2 linked regions of the Styela clava genome follow. The protein of the gene in region 2 binds, or shares a complex with, the protein of the main gene of each other region. Links are inferred from orthologs where the notes say so. Each region holds a gene or a part of one and is shown on either strand. Other genes may lie near its edges.

Evidence for each region. Proteins that work in one complex are often made in the same cells at the same time.
Region 1: the proteins of acylglycerol kinase, mitochondrial-like (region 2) and mitochondrial import inner membrane translocase subunit Tim29-like are in contact, whole or in part, in a cryo-EM structure (PDB 7CGP), measured with the Homo sapiens proteins. The link is inferred for Styela clava from reciprocal best matches to the Homo sapiens genes AGK and TIMM29. Residues at the interface, in NP_060708.1 of Homo sapiens: His33, Asn36, Arg39, Arg40, Cys43, Gln44, Gln47, Asn51, Lys82, Pro86, His89, Leu90; in NP_612367.1 of Homo sapiens: Tyr145, Gln146, Cys149, Arg150, Tyr151, Leu152, Gln153, Arg155.

What each region holds. Positions count from the first base shown.
Region 1 is NC_135262.1:15,093,542-15,100,316, reverse strand, and holds mitochondrial import inner membrane translocase subunit Tim29-like, read left to right. Parts: upstream 1-4,997; 5' UTR 4,998-5,320; coding exon 5,321-5,971; 3' UTR 5,972-6,229; downstream 6,230-6,775. Other genes in the region: dnaJ homolog subfamily C member 27-like, read left to right, coding at 6,276-6,775. UniProt on the Homo sapiens protein: Component of the TIM22 complex, a complex that mediates the import and insertion of multi-pass transmembrane proteins into the mitochondrial inner membrane.
Region 2 is NC_135253.1:879,068-886,185, reverse strand, and holds acylglycerol kinase, mitochondrial-like, read left to right. Parts: upstream 1-4,105; 5' UTR 4,106-4,654; coding exon 4,655-5,932; 3' UTR 5,933-6,994; downstream 6,995-7,118. UniProt on the Homo sapiens protein: Lipid kinase that can phosphorylate both monoacylglycerol and diacylglycerol to form lysophosphatidic acid (LPA) and phosphatidic acid (PA), respectively. Does not phosphorylate sphingosine. Phosphorylates ceramide.

The sequences.
Region 1 (6,775 bases), on a different chromosome or scaffold from region 2:
TGTCCACATATTCGAGCATAGCTCACTTGTTCTTATCCTTGTTCTTTGACACGTTTTAAAAAAATCGCTTTTCTCTTTGATTACTGGGCCAATTGCTTTGGAATTTTCAGTAGGTAAAGCTTGAATTTTTTTCTAGAAGGCTATTACTTTTATCAATTTCAAACAGCGTAACGTGTCCATATATTTGAGCATAGCTCTCTTGTTTACAAATGTGATTGAAATCCAAATGAATATTAAATTATACAATTTACATCACTACTGTAATGAAAGCAGTTGGAATGAATATATGTATTATTTACCACGATGATCTTGTACTTCTAGGTCGGTTGAAATTGAAATCCTTATAACCTTTTATGGAAAATACTTTTCCCTGTTTTGCGCCCCTGTTCAAACGGCGCCCATGGCACGAGCCATGGCTGCCACACCCTAGATACGCCGTTGATTGGAGTCATTCCTTATTGACGATTGTGTATCTCTCATCCATTTCAGTATGTATCAATCTCATTGCGGTATCAAATATTCAACAATATCCATTATTTTAAACAAAGCTGATGGACAACATGACCAGATATACATCGTGACCAGATATCACGCCACAAGGTAGACGAATTTTAACTTTGATGGCGTCATCGCACTCAAAAAATAAATAGAGGCCGCGATAGATATTCGGGACAATAAATATTACCCTGATTGAAAATTTAAACAAATATCAGTTTTATAAAATTTTAAAGAAAAAATAGAATGTCGAGGGCTGTCGATGTCCTGAGGCACCTGGGCTTCAGCCTACCTTGCCTAATGACAAACTCGGCTCAGTTTATTCAGGTTTGTAGTTTGCAATTACTCAACAACCATTGAAAAAACATTAGGCATATATACAGCAGATTAGAACAAAATACCCAAATTTCAGGGGAGCAAAACTGCAAACTCCTTTGTTGCTTTGACGTATTTATTGTTTTTCTTTCCAAATAAGAATCACATCTAGTCGAATCCACGAAGAATCGATTCCGAAGTCGATTCCGCATACAGTTTAACCGTATATATATACTACTACGGTTTAACGTTCTGAAACACGAGATGCTGATTTTAACAGAGAAGTATCACCTGCAAACAATGTTGAATAAAATGCAGAGGCCAAAAAGGTAGATCGTTTATGTAGCGTAAAAATACCAGCGGGTCAATCATAGTAACCTGGGAACTCCACATTCAATAAAGCTCATTTCAGAGATACAATATTTATTTTGAACATAGATTAGAAATATCTTATGCAAATCTGATGCAAAATGTTTTTTTGAGCTGTAGGTGGTTAGAACAGAATTTACATATGTATCTCGGGTAAAAGAATTATGTGGCGAACCACGGCCACAGTCGGTTATGGACTTAGTTAGCCACCTATTTGTTTCAAATGCGTGGAACTTGACGGTGGAGTAAGCCGTAACCGAGAGCGGTCACGCGTACCGAGTGGAAGTGGTGACTCATCTACGGCCCATGGGCCGGGATCACGGCCTATCGAATTGGGCCTCGGCCCATCAGGCTATGGGCCGCGGCCCATCGAGTTGTGTAACGGGACTATTCACCTGGCTAACACAGACAGTCCCCGAACTAATAATAGAACTATAATGTGAAAAATCTGAACTAAATTTTGTCCTAACCCTAACCTGGTACACATACTACAGGAGTATTCTTTTCTGTATCTTGGTATTTTGCTTTATTTTTATATAGAGGACTTGCACGGGTCACGTGACTTTGTTACTGGACGGCAATAAAACAAAAACGTCCATTTGGCTCCTGTCAGTTGCAAGTCGGATTATACGTTTCTGTTTTGTTTGACTGTTAAAAATGGTTATTTCGTATTGTTCCGTTGACTGTACGTATAGTATAGACAACGAAATGGATCTTCAGTTATATTCCATTGTTTTCAAAAGATCCGGAACGCCGCGCAATGTGGATATCATCTATTGGCAGGACTGCTTGGTGTCAAGTCCAGAAGCCATCTCACTTGTGTTTCACTGTTTGCGGACAGCACTTCGTTGATGGTGAGTCATCATGTGCCGTTATCAAATTTTCAAATATTCATAAGCTCTCTCATTTTAATGGAAAGCAGATGACAAACTACTGTTATTGGTAGGCCTAGGCGTAGGCCTACTTGCAGACTTGACTCGTGTAAGGTATTAATCAATAATTGCCATAAGGTATTGTTTTCCTAGTTAGCAGGTAATCTATCAGTAAGTGTGAAAAGTTGAATAGATAACTAAAGTTTAACGCCAGTGCTAATGCAAAAAATAACCAAAATTCAATTGAATTCTCTATCTAAGAATACGCTCGCCACCGCATCTCTGATCTCCCTGGGAGTTTCACAGGTTCCAATCCCATGCGGGGATAGTTATGTGCGAGGGATTGCAGCTCTCCTTCCACTGAGGATGGTTCCCACGACCGCTGGTCGATTACGACATCCCCCACCATCAAGTATATGCTTCTAAAACAAATAACTGGCTAACTAATCCCGACATAGAATGGTAATCGTACGATGTTGCACCTTGCAATCTGTCCCCCAACCACAGATAAATTCTATCCTGAAAACTACCCACATTGGTAGGCATAATTGCGTTTTAAATTGAAAGAAATCTTCATTATTGGTCAGAAGGTGTCCAGTTATTTGTTTTCAGAAGCATGGACTTGCATGGTGGGGAATGGTCGTAACCGATCAGCGGTTATGAGAACCACCCTCGGTGGGAGTAGAGCTGCAATCCTCTCTGGGATTGAAACCCAGGGTGATCAGAGATGTGGTGGCGAGCGTATTCCTAGATGGCGAATTCAATTGAATTCTGGTTATTTTTTGCGTGACCACTGGTGTTAAACTTTAGTTATCTATTCAACCTTTCACACTTAGTAATAGATTACCTGCTAATTAGGGAAACAATACCTTATAGCAATTGATTATTAATTCCTTACTGTCTTACACAAGTCAAGTCTGCAACTGCAAGTAGGCCTACTAATAACAGTAGTTTGTCATCTGCTTTCCATTGAAATGAGGGAGCTCGTGAATATTTGAAGAAATTGATAACGGCACACTATCACCACATTATCACTCACCATCAACGAAGTGCTGTCCGCAAACAGTGAAACACATGTAAGAAGGCTTCTGGACTTTACACCAAGCAGTTCTGCCAATGCAATAGATGATATCCACATTGCGCGACGTTCCGGATCTTTTGAAATCAGTGGAATATACCTGAAGATCCATTTCGTTGTCTATACTATACGTAAGGCCAACGGAACAATACGAAATAACAATTTTCAACAGCCAAACAAAACGGAAACGTATAATCCGACTTGCAACTGACAGGAGCCAAATGGACGTTTTTGTTTTATTGCCGTCCAGTAACAAAGTCACGTGACCCGTGCAAGTCCTCTATAAAGGCTTATCGTAAAAAAAAAATTTGGCGGCATACCGCGTTTTTTTTTGGTTCGAATATTGACAATTTTGTGAAAATTGAGAATTTTGGTAAGATAATTGAATTTTTTCTGATAGGGCCGCGGCCCATAGCTTGATGGGCCACGGCCCATATGGCCCAATGAGATGGGACGTAGAGGAGCCACCACCCATGTAGCGCGTACCACCCTACCTCGGCCAGGTGTCCAGCAAACCTCTCACACCTAATTAGCCCCCACCGGATGTGAACCCGCGTGGGGTAATCAGAGGTGCGGTGGTGAGCGTATTCCAAACGCTTAGTCGCTACATCGCCGAGCCGGTTTCTAATATAATTTACGAAACGGACCTTGAACCCGAGCTGAAAGCTCCATGTGACTCCTAACACACACACACATGCGGACTGCCGAAATTCAAGAAGGCGTCAGTCTGTCATAGAATCAGCTGTTGGTTTTCAAGATAGCACTGTAGCACTGCTTTCAGGAACTTCAGGTTCCTCTTAGGGTAAATTTACTAGTCGGTAGGATAAGACATTCTACCACGCTCACGTAATTTTTGGATGACACAGTGAGGTGGAGGTTAGGATTGTCAAATTGTTGTAAATTACTTGCAGACTTGAGGTACGCGCGCCGCGGTGTGGCTCAACCAATGGGCTAAGCTCTGGGAATACGCTCGCCACCGCACCTCTAATTACTCTGCGTGGGTTCGCAGGTTCGAATCCCATGCAGGGATGGTTATGTGCGAAACTTGTAATTATCAGATCACATATGACAAGCGTTGAAATATGAGACCCCGAATACAAAATAGGTTGAAATCACCTTGGGTTGTTATGACAAACCTCGGGGTTATAAGTTATTGCGTGCGCAGCACCTCATTCCTAATCTACTAATAAATTATAGCTCAGTTTTAGAAACAGGTTGAATTTAGGAAATAATTGACACAAACAACAATGATTATTTCCACGCACCTATTGCTATTGGTATCAAAGGTTACACCACAATGTTCATTTTCTATAACCATGCACAAAATTTGCTTCTCTATTGCAGTATTGTGACGTTTTATTTGCGCTCCTAATTTCAACCGTTGATGAGATTAAAAGGGAGCTTGCACAATAGCGGTTCGGGGTTTTTTGGCAGACCTGCAAAAGTTAAGAACTGCAAAAGATCGAGCTGATTGCGAGGCGGAGTGCATTACTTGCGGCTACAGTTTCTCGTTGACAAGAATGCATTATTGCATTGTCGTCACATCGACTATTGTCGCCTCTACTTTTAATTCTAGAGAATTTAGTAGATATATAACGCGTATATCTCAGGCACAGGTGGAATATGGTTCTACCAAACGATGTGTCCTCCTTTTAGGATTTGGACATATGGTCACCCTAACGTAACCGCTGGTCGGTTACGGCTTCCTCCATCACCAAGTCCATGCTTCCGAAAACAAACAATATAACTAATCCCATACCCGACTTTCAATAATAACCGGACGAGAGGCCGTGGTTCGCCATATGGATAAGCCGTCTTATCGACTTTCCTCTCCCCCGGGATAAATATGTGAATCCTATCCTACGGTTTGACATGACCTGCTTAGTTGGAACATGAGTCGGTTTGATTTAACTAAACACATCTGTCAAGAATTTCATTTAACTGACTTGAAAAAAAAACATGGAAACTTCATTTTGTTTGACGTTATTTTAAGGAGTTACAGCGATTGCTTCGCTAGACCCCTGCATTTTGAATATTTTGAGTTTTGTCATCTCTTTCTAATGCTAATATCAATTTTTTATATTTATGAGAAATCGAAAAAGTTTTAAATAATCCTGTGAAGTAGAATACCTATGAATCTATTGTTTGCCTAGTTCAGTACTTTATCGATTATTACAATCTGATAATTGTGATGGCAGCATTGAAGGTTCGTGGTATTGGTGAAAGGTTGAAAACATCACTCAAGACTGCTATTGTCGATTATAGAACTTCAGCTCTAGAGTCTTTGCAATATATGAAGGAAAACCCAGGTAAAACAACAATGTATACAGGATTATTGCTATTTGGAATCCGACTCAATCGGACAATGCCGACCGAAACCGAGTTTTATGCAAAGCTTGTAGACAAGTCTAATGAAATTGTATTATTGAATGATAAAACTCGAAACAAAGAATCAGATGAACACATTCAAAAAGTTTCTGGATATTTTGCAAAGGGACGAATTCGCCATCAAAATTTAGTGATTTTCTCTCTAATTTATTATACTGATTATGACGTAACTAATAAGCATTATGAATCGCAATGTAAATTTTTACGTCCAAAATGGAGGGAATTTCATAATCGAATAGTGGATATTGGTTTATATCGACGATGGTGGGTGCTGAGATACCATACAACAGACTATGATATAAATTTTGAAGAGTTTCCAAAAGACCTTGATTCCACATGGGCACAAATAAAAGACTTTTTCAACAGAATATTGGAAATTTCATATTTTGGAAATCCTGCTATTCCTTTATCTGAGCAAAGAAAAGTTAGAAAAGCAATTGAAGTTGTTGAATAGAATACATACTGGTATTTTGTCTTTTTTCAATCACCTATTAAAATTGTTTAATTCACTACAAGGTATTTAAACTTTTATGTGGTTAAACATCAATAAATTCATCAGTTCTGAGGTCATAAATTTGTTTCTTTTTATTTGTTTGTTATGGTTTTCATAATGTTTTGAACTACGCGGAGTAAAAATTTGTAATTAATTGCTTAGCTTTTGTTTTTTCCAAGCATTTTTTATCTGGTATCCAGTTTGTTAGTCTACATTTAATTCAATGTCATTTATTGTTTAGGTTTACGTTAACAACATTCTAGTTATGTCTTCCAACACCAATCCACTGACCCGTAAAAAAGGTCATCCTCGAAGTATAAGAGTAAAAGTAATTAGCATGGGCAATGCCGAAGTTGGTAAAAGCTGTTTAATCAAGCGATACTGTGAAAAGAGATTTGTAAATAAATATCTGGCGACTATTGGGATTGATTATGGTGTCACAAAAGTACAAGTAAATGATAAAGAACTGAAAGTAAATATTTTCGATATGGCAGGACATCCCTACTTTTACGAAGTACGAAATGAGTTTTACAAAGACACACAAGCTGCAATTCTTGTTTATGATGTAACAAACCGTGTCAGTTTCGAATGCCTTGAATCATGGTTACAAGAAATGCGGCAAGAAATTGGAAAACCTCAAAAAATGGACAATGTGATATTTTTTGTTTGCGCTAACAAAACTGATAAAGGTAACAGAGTGGTTGATACAACAGAAGGAAGATTATGGGCAGATGGAAAAGGTTTTCATTATTTTGAAACATCAGC
Region 2 (7,118 bases):
AGAACGTGCTTTAGGGCTATGTGTCGATGATTTAGGGCCATCAACGTCAGACTTTTGAACCAATCGCGTAAGTGCACATTGAATTCTTGAAACTCGCGCAGTTCACACTGGAAAAATTCACTGACATTTCTTCGATCTTCTTCAGAACGTAAAGTACTCACATGAATTTCATGAGCATTTGAATACTCTGTGAACCGTTTGTCAATGTCAGCACTTTTCAATTTCAACAAATCTAGATTTTGGTAGTCTGACATAAGTCTCTCAGCATCTTGATATAATTCCTTCATACGAGCACGTAACTCTTCTAAATTTGATTTCGAAACAGATTCTGCATCTATAATGTACAATTACAGTGCTCTTCAAACATGCAACAAAAGTTTAAATATTCAACAGTACGATGATTTCTTCAATTTTGACGATTTACTGAACTCCTGTCGGCATTCGACGATACTTTATTAATGCAATACCAAACGTTATATGCAAATTTTGATAACTTTATTTGCGGAAATTCGATAACTTTAATGTAACAGCCGTTCTTTGTGACCTGGACGACACCGACTGCACACTAGATATTGGTGACCGTACATTTGAACCCATGTACATTTGAACCCATGCGTATATTCACAGGTTCAATCTATATGCGGGTGCTAAAACCCATGGGTTAGGGTTAGTATGGGTTTAACTATCCGTGAAACAAAAAAAATTCTATAGGTGCAATAGCATACAGGTGCAATTGTCATGGGTTCAAATGTACGTGGGTTCAAATGTAATGGAACCTAGATATTTATTAACAGTTCAATAACGCGGTCTTTCAAGCTCCAAGTTCGTATCCTCACTCCAGAAAATCACACAACTCGAAGTATACAGTTGACACGGTTATCTTAATACAAACGTAAAAACAAATCAATACAAAATACTTGTAATAAATAAATAATCGTACACAATTCGGCCTTTAGAAAGCCTACTCAAATTTATGAACACATTTAACAAACATTTTGTTGTCTGCTATTCCAGGCTTAAATTATCATAAGTAGATTAAGAAATCATTCGTCCATGAAATCCGAACAAATCAATTAAATAAACTATAACTGTAAAAACAATCACAAAGGCAATCTAATGCTCATAAAATATCCCTAAACTAGGCCTATGTGGGGCAGCCATAATCTACATTATTTAATCGTCCTACTGTCAAAACAGAAAGTCAAGGTCGCTGAACAATTTTAACTTATTTACAAATTACAACGAAACGAGCGCCATTCTCCTATAAAAGTAAAGCGCTATCTAAAACAAATTACCGAAACTATCCCTGTCTAAGCGAGACATGTCTGGGCAAGCAATTGCCACGAAGACTCTCACAATTGTTTCGTAACAAAGTGTGTAGAAGCACACTGTCAATCAAGGGAAATTACGGCGTCAACAATAACAAATAAATTACTACACAAGTTAAACGGACGCAATGTTTAAGTCAAAACAAAAATAAAGTGAATGCGATTCTCGATGTAACAGCCTGTAGATGCGTGTTTTGTGTACTATTAAGTATATATATTTTGGACATAGTTTAATATGAAATATATTCTAGATTCAAAAATATTTTTCAGAGTGATTCAGTTTCGAAGAAGTAAACAATAAATATTTTGCCTTTGGCCGGAATCAGAAATTTTACTTGGTACTATATAAATTTTGGTTTTGTTTCAGTAGGCGAAACTTAGTGATTGAAAAAAATCACGCCATTGTTATGGACCTTTCCCCGACCTTTGACCCTCGAAAAATTCTTCCTATACTTTACCATTGCAAAATTTTCAGGGCTATTTTAAGAGTGCTTTTGCAAGTTGGCGCCTGTAAAATGGGGTATGTGTTTCAAACCATCATTATGATTCATCGCATACAACAAACTGTTTTTTAAAAGTACCGGTAAAGAATTTCAGGCTAGTCTATCACAGCTATTTCTACAATGAAAATTCTACAACAAACTCCTAGGAAGACAGCGTGATCATTGAATTATCTGATTTTTATTTAAGTTTCCGAAACACAACTGAAAACTAACGAATAGAGTTCAAAAACGCGAAAACGAGGTAATGTTTACAACCAGCCTTGAAAATCTGTCTGAGTGAGAAAAGGGGGCATTGTTACGTCACTCTTCGCATCTTGCTGATTGGCCAATGTCACGAAATAAACAAGGAAGTCGATACTCGGGGAAAGGTCCATTGTTTCTTTTTGAACAGCACTCAAAGCCTGTATTTGATGTTTATGGCCTTTTAACAAAGAACTGTCATCATCAAAAATGGAAGTTTCAAAACTCATTTTCAATAGGTATAATCCGAAAGTAAAAAAATGAATTTATTTCAGATTTAATAATAGAAATCCAAAATATTCAACAAGTAAGTCTACAACGAAGAATTTTTAGATACAAATGGCCCCAAAGTGATTTTATGTTACCAATGCAGAAAAATTTTTTAGGGGATTTTTTGAAAAAAGATCTAGAATACTTTGGTTGAACATTGATTTTACCCAACCAGAGGTCAGATCTCAGAGGCAGCGTTGCATGGAGGCAGTTAATTCTACTTGTGAACCACCAAGTTTTACTTTCCAAAAATACCATGATAGAGCTCTAGCGTCACATCATATATTCTAGCAGTTCTCAACCTTTTATGGTTCGTGACCCCTTTCCGGCGCTTTTTTGCACTCGTGGCCATTCGCCATTCCAAAAAACCAAACGTGTTGGATTGTATTAAGTTTTTATTACCTTTTATGGAATGCAAAAGCAAACCACGGACAAGAAAGTATAAGAGCTTTCTAGTATACAATGAGTGGGAATCGCTCGGGACTGTCTGACGACTTACAGATAAGTTGCGAGTCGCAACTTGCGACAAATGAACTAGCAGTGAAGAAGCTTTCTTTCTTAGTAATGGGTAAAAGTAGTGATATGCCACTTCAAAGCTGCATTCAAAAGCGGGCTTATCCTCCGGCAGAAACCCTAACTTGGCCAATGTTGCTTTATTGTCAATCTAACTCGCTTGGCAGCCAAGAATCCGATATCAACGCTTTTACCCGGTGATGATTTTTGTCACGGTGGTTTTGGAGTTTAGATGGACTTAATGATTCATTGCTCTTTACATACGAGCAATGCAAGTATTGAGGACATTCTCGGTCATCTCGACTTACTTTTGTAAAGCCAAAGTAACTGTCGTTCCATTTTCGTATTTTGGGATTTCCGTCTATAATACGATAGCGAAGGTTATCTCGCAGTCTAGTGAAATTACAGGTTAGACGGCTTACCAGCGAACTATATTGGTAGATTTCATATTCCATGGACCTTTCCCCGAGCATCGACTTCCTTGTTTACTTCGTGACATTGGCCAATCAGCAAGATGCAAAATGTGACGTAACAATGCCCCCTTTTCGCATCCGCTCAGACACTTTTCTCACTCAGACAGATTTTCAAGCGTGGTTGTAAACATTACCTCGTTTTCGCGTTTTTGAACTCTATTCGTTAGTTTTCAGTTGTGTTTCGGAAACTTAATAAAAAATCATATAATTCAATGATCACTCTGTCTTCCTAGGAGTTTTAATTTAATTGCAGTAATAAAAATTAGTGTAGAAATAGCTGTGATAGACTAGCCTGAAATTATCTACCGGTACTTTTAAAAAACAGATTGTTGTGTGCGATGAATCATAATGATGGTTTGAAACACATACCCCATTTTACAGGCGCCAACTCGCAAAAGCATTCCTAAAATAGCACTGAAAATTTTGCAATGGTAAAGTATAGGAAGAATTTTCCAGGGATCAAAGGTCGGGGAAAGGTCCATTATGCTCAAACAATTCACGCACAAGAAAGTGAATACATATCAACCTATTCAGGCAATTAAACTGCGGTGAACGCCGCAGAGAATTTTATTATAAAAGGAAAATATGCAAACGAAATCGTTTTAGGGTCAATTATTAGCATTGTGTCGTGACCCCCTTAGGGGGGCACCAGCCTCCGGTTGAGAACCACTGATCTATTATAAACTAAAGTACGGTAGGTAAATAAATATGAATAGGCGTAGCACAGTGAGACTAAATATGGCAACTGAGGTTTCAAAGTAGTTCAAGGATCAACAGCTAAGGGACCTCCTGCGGCAGTCGGCGTCAGGCCATGGTTTACTACTGATTGGTCAGGCATGGAGATGCCGTGTAACGTGTGCTGGAAATTGGGTTTTAGTGTAGTACCGTACTGGTACCTAGAGTACTTCTAGTGGGGGTGGCATGACCATTTTTGCATAGGCTATGGGTTTCTTTAAATTACGGTACGTTACTACAACGTCACAATCACGTCATGTTGCAGGTCGGTTTTGGCTCCAGCCGACCAAGTCCATGCTTCGATGCATGTCTGCATGTGGAACCAGTAACTGGCCAACTAATCCCATACCGGTACCTAACCCACATCGCGACATGGACCGGTACGGTACTGTAACCGGACGTCACACGTCAGGACGTGGGCCATGGTTCGCCATATTTTTGTTCCGGCTTTTTCCCCCTCAACGCGGTAACGTCACACCAGACCTGCAGACCGGGCACTGGTACGGTACCTACTTGCGGTAATTCGAAATTTATCTTACTTGTCAAAATTTATCGCAGTTTGGTCATCAGTTCTGCAAATAACTTACAGATTATGGTTGTAATTAGGTTTGCAAAAGCTGTGAAAAACAATCCAAAAAAGTCTATTGCTGGTGCAATCGTCTTAGCATGGTTCGGAAAATGGGCAGAAAAAAGATACATAGCGCATCTTTTCAGAAGGGCTGAATGTCAAACAGCTGTAAAGCTTGGACAAAAAAGTTTACATGAACTTCAAGACGCAAAGCGTGTCACAGTTCTTTTGAACCCTGCTGCGAATGGTGGAAAAGCAAATGCTTTGTATGAGAAGTATGCAGCCCCAATACTACATCTTGCTGGTTATGATGTGCATCTGGTGAAATTAAACTATGAGGGAGAAGCTAAAAAACTTATGTCTGTTGTCAACAATGACATTGATATGATTATTTGTGCTGGCGGCGATGGAACTCTAAGTGAAATTGTCACAGGTTTAATGCGACGACCAGATTCAAATTGGAAGAAGATTCCTATTGGAATTATTCCTCTCGGCAAGAAAAATACAATGTGTAAGAGATTGATTCAAAATGCGGATCATGATAAACAACCTCATTTTATTTGTAGCGCAGCATCTGCCATAACCAGAAGTATACAAACGCCTGTGGATGTTATGAAAATTGATGGTTCGACTGGGAAAACTGTGTATGCTGTTTCAAGTATCAGTTGGGGCACCTATAGTGATCTTCAGGATAGAATAAAAAAGTTTTGGTTTCTCGGCCCTCTGAAATCATACATACCATTTGTTTTGTCTTTATTGAAGTCTGACCCTACAAAGCCAAGAACATTTTCTATATCATACACAGACCCTGAGGTTGTTCCTATTTCCCTAGAAGAAAATTGTGTGGAAAACAGTTCTGGCCTTTCGGTGTCTTCCCTTCTCTCCAAAATCTTTTACAGGTTCTGGCCTTGGAAATCAAAATCAGAGCCACTCATTGAACAAACTGCTGAGTTAATTGAAGAAAATTGGAATGATTTACCCAAAACAAGCATTGAGTTTTTTGCTCAAGCGAATAAGCATTTGAATTCTGAGGGAAGAGAGAAAGCCTCGATACAAGTACAGCTCGAGTCTAATAATGTGTCGTACACTGATTTTGTTACACATGGCCCATTTATATTCCAAAAGGGTGATCACCCATTTGTTAACACTGACTCTGATTTTGAAGTGGATAAATTAAAGTTATCATCACAATTATCTGATAATTACGAGCAACACATTAGTATTGATAATGATAGATATGAAGCAATGGATTTATCTGTCCAATTAGTTCCCAATTGCATTAACATGATTTGTTCAAAATAAAAAGGTTTCTGCAACGAATTAACTGTCTATCTAATCCATTACCCAACATGGACTGGTAACCGCACAAGAGGCCATGGTTCGCCACATAATTAAGCCATCCTTTCCCCTGATTTTCCACTCCCTTGGATTGATTTATAATGTCATTAATAGTTTAAAATTCCTGGTATTGTAGATTTACAATGAGGATGTTCCCTTTTTTCAAAATACAATACAATGTGCAACCCGATTCTAATAAGTTAATGTCGAACATAGACTAAGGTGGTATTTCAGTCCGCCCTTCATACTGCCTTATGAGGACTTTTTAATTAAATTAGCTTCAAAACAGACTGCCTTAACTCTTTCTGCAAATTTTTGTACTGCTCTTTCCTATTGTTTCGCGTAAATGAAATTCTTTCCAAGTCCATATGCTCCAAGTTAAAAACTCATGCTTTGGCATACTCTTTGATTTGGTATTGCCTGTTCCAGAACAATTTAACATAAAATGAATAGTACGGTTTTGAATCGAACATATAGTCTGCTTGAAAAGCGGGATAAAACTTTCAGTTTAAATTGTTCAGAATAAAATTATCCAATATTCCAAATACAGTCTCAATTACTGTTCACAAATACATTTTAAATTTGGCCATGTTTGATGAATATATATTTTTGTGAGAATTCCACTCATAAACCACCAAGTTTTACTTTTCAAACATACCATAATATAAATATCGAAAAATCAAATATTCACCATTTTCAAATTATAAATTCGTTCGAACATCCCAGTTCTCAACTGTTCTTCGTATAGGTAAATCGTTTGATTTTCAACAAAAAGTGCAGAGTTAAACAAATTTCCACTGACATTCTAAGAGCTATATTTAAGTAAAGGAGGTGGAAATATCAGTAGATAGTTGTTAATATTATACTTTAAATAATTCAACATTTTTTGTTTAATCGTTTTTTATTCTTCTCGAATGTTCAATTTTGTTACTACAATGAAACGCATAAGATCATATACCAGTATGGGGTATAAGAGATGTTTTGCTGTTAGTTTTTCATGTTCAGATTAAACGATCAAAACACTGATTTCTGTTTTTCGATCAGTATACGCTTCACTACAGGTAGATTTTATTTCGGTACACCGATGAACGCTCAGGTAGTTATAAGATTTCCAGTGAGTGAGTATGTCAATCGTTACAAGTTCCTGAAA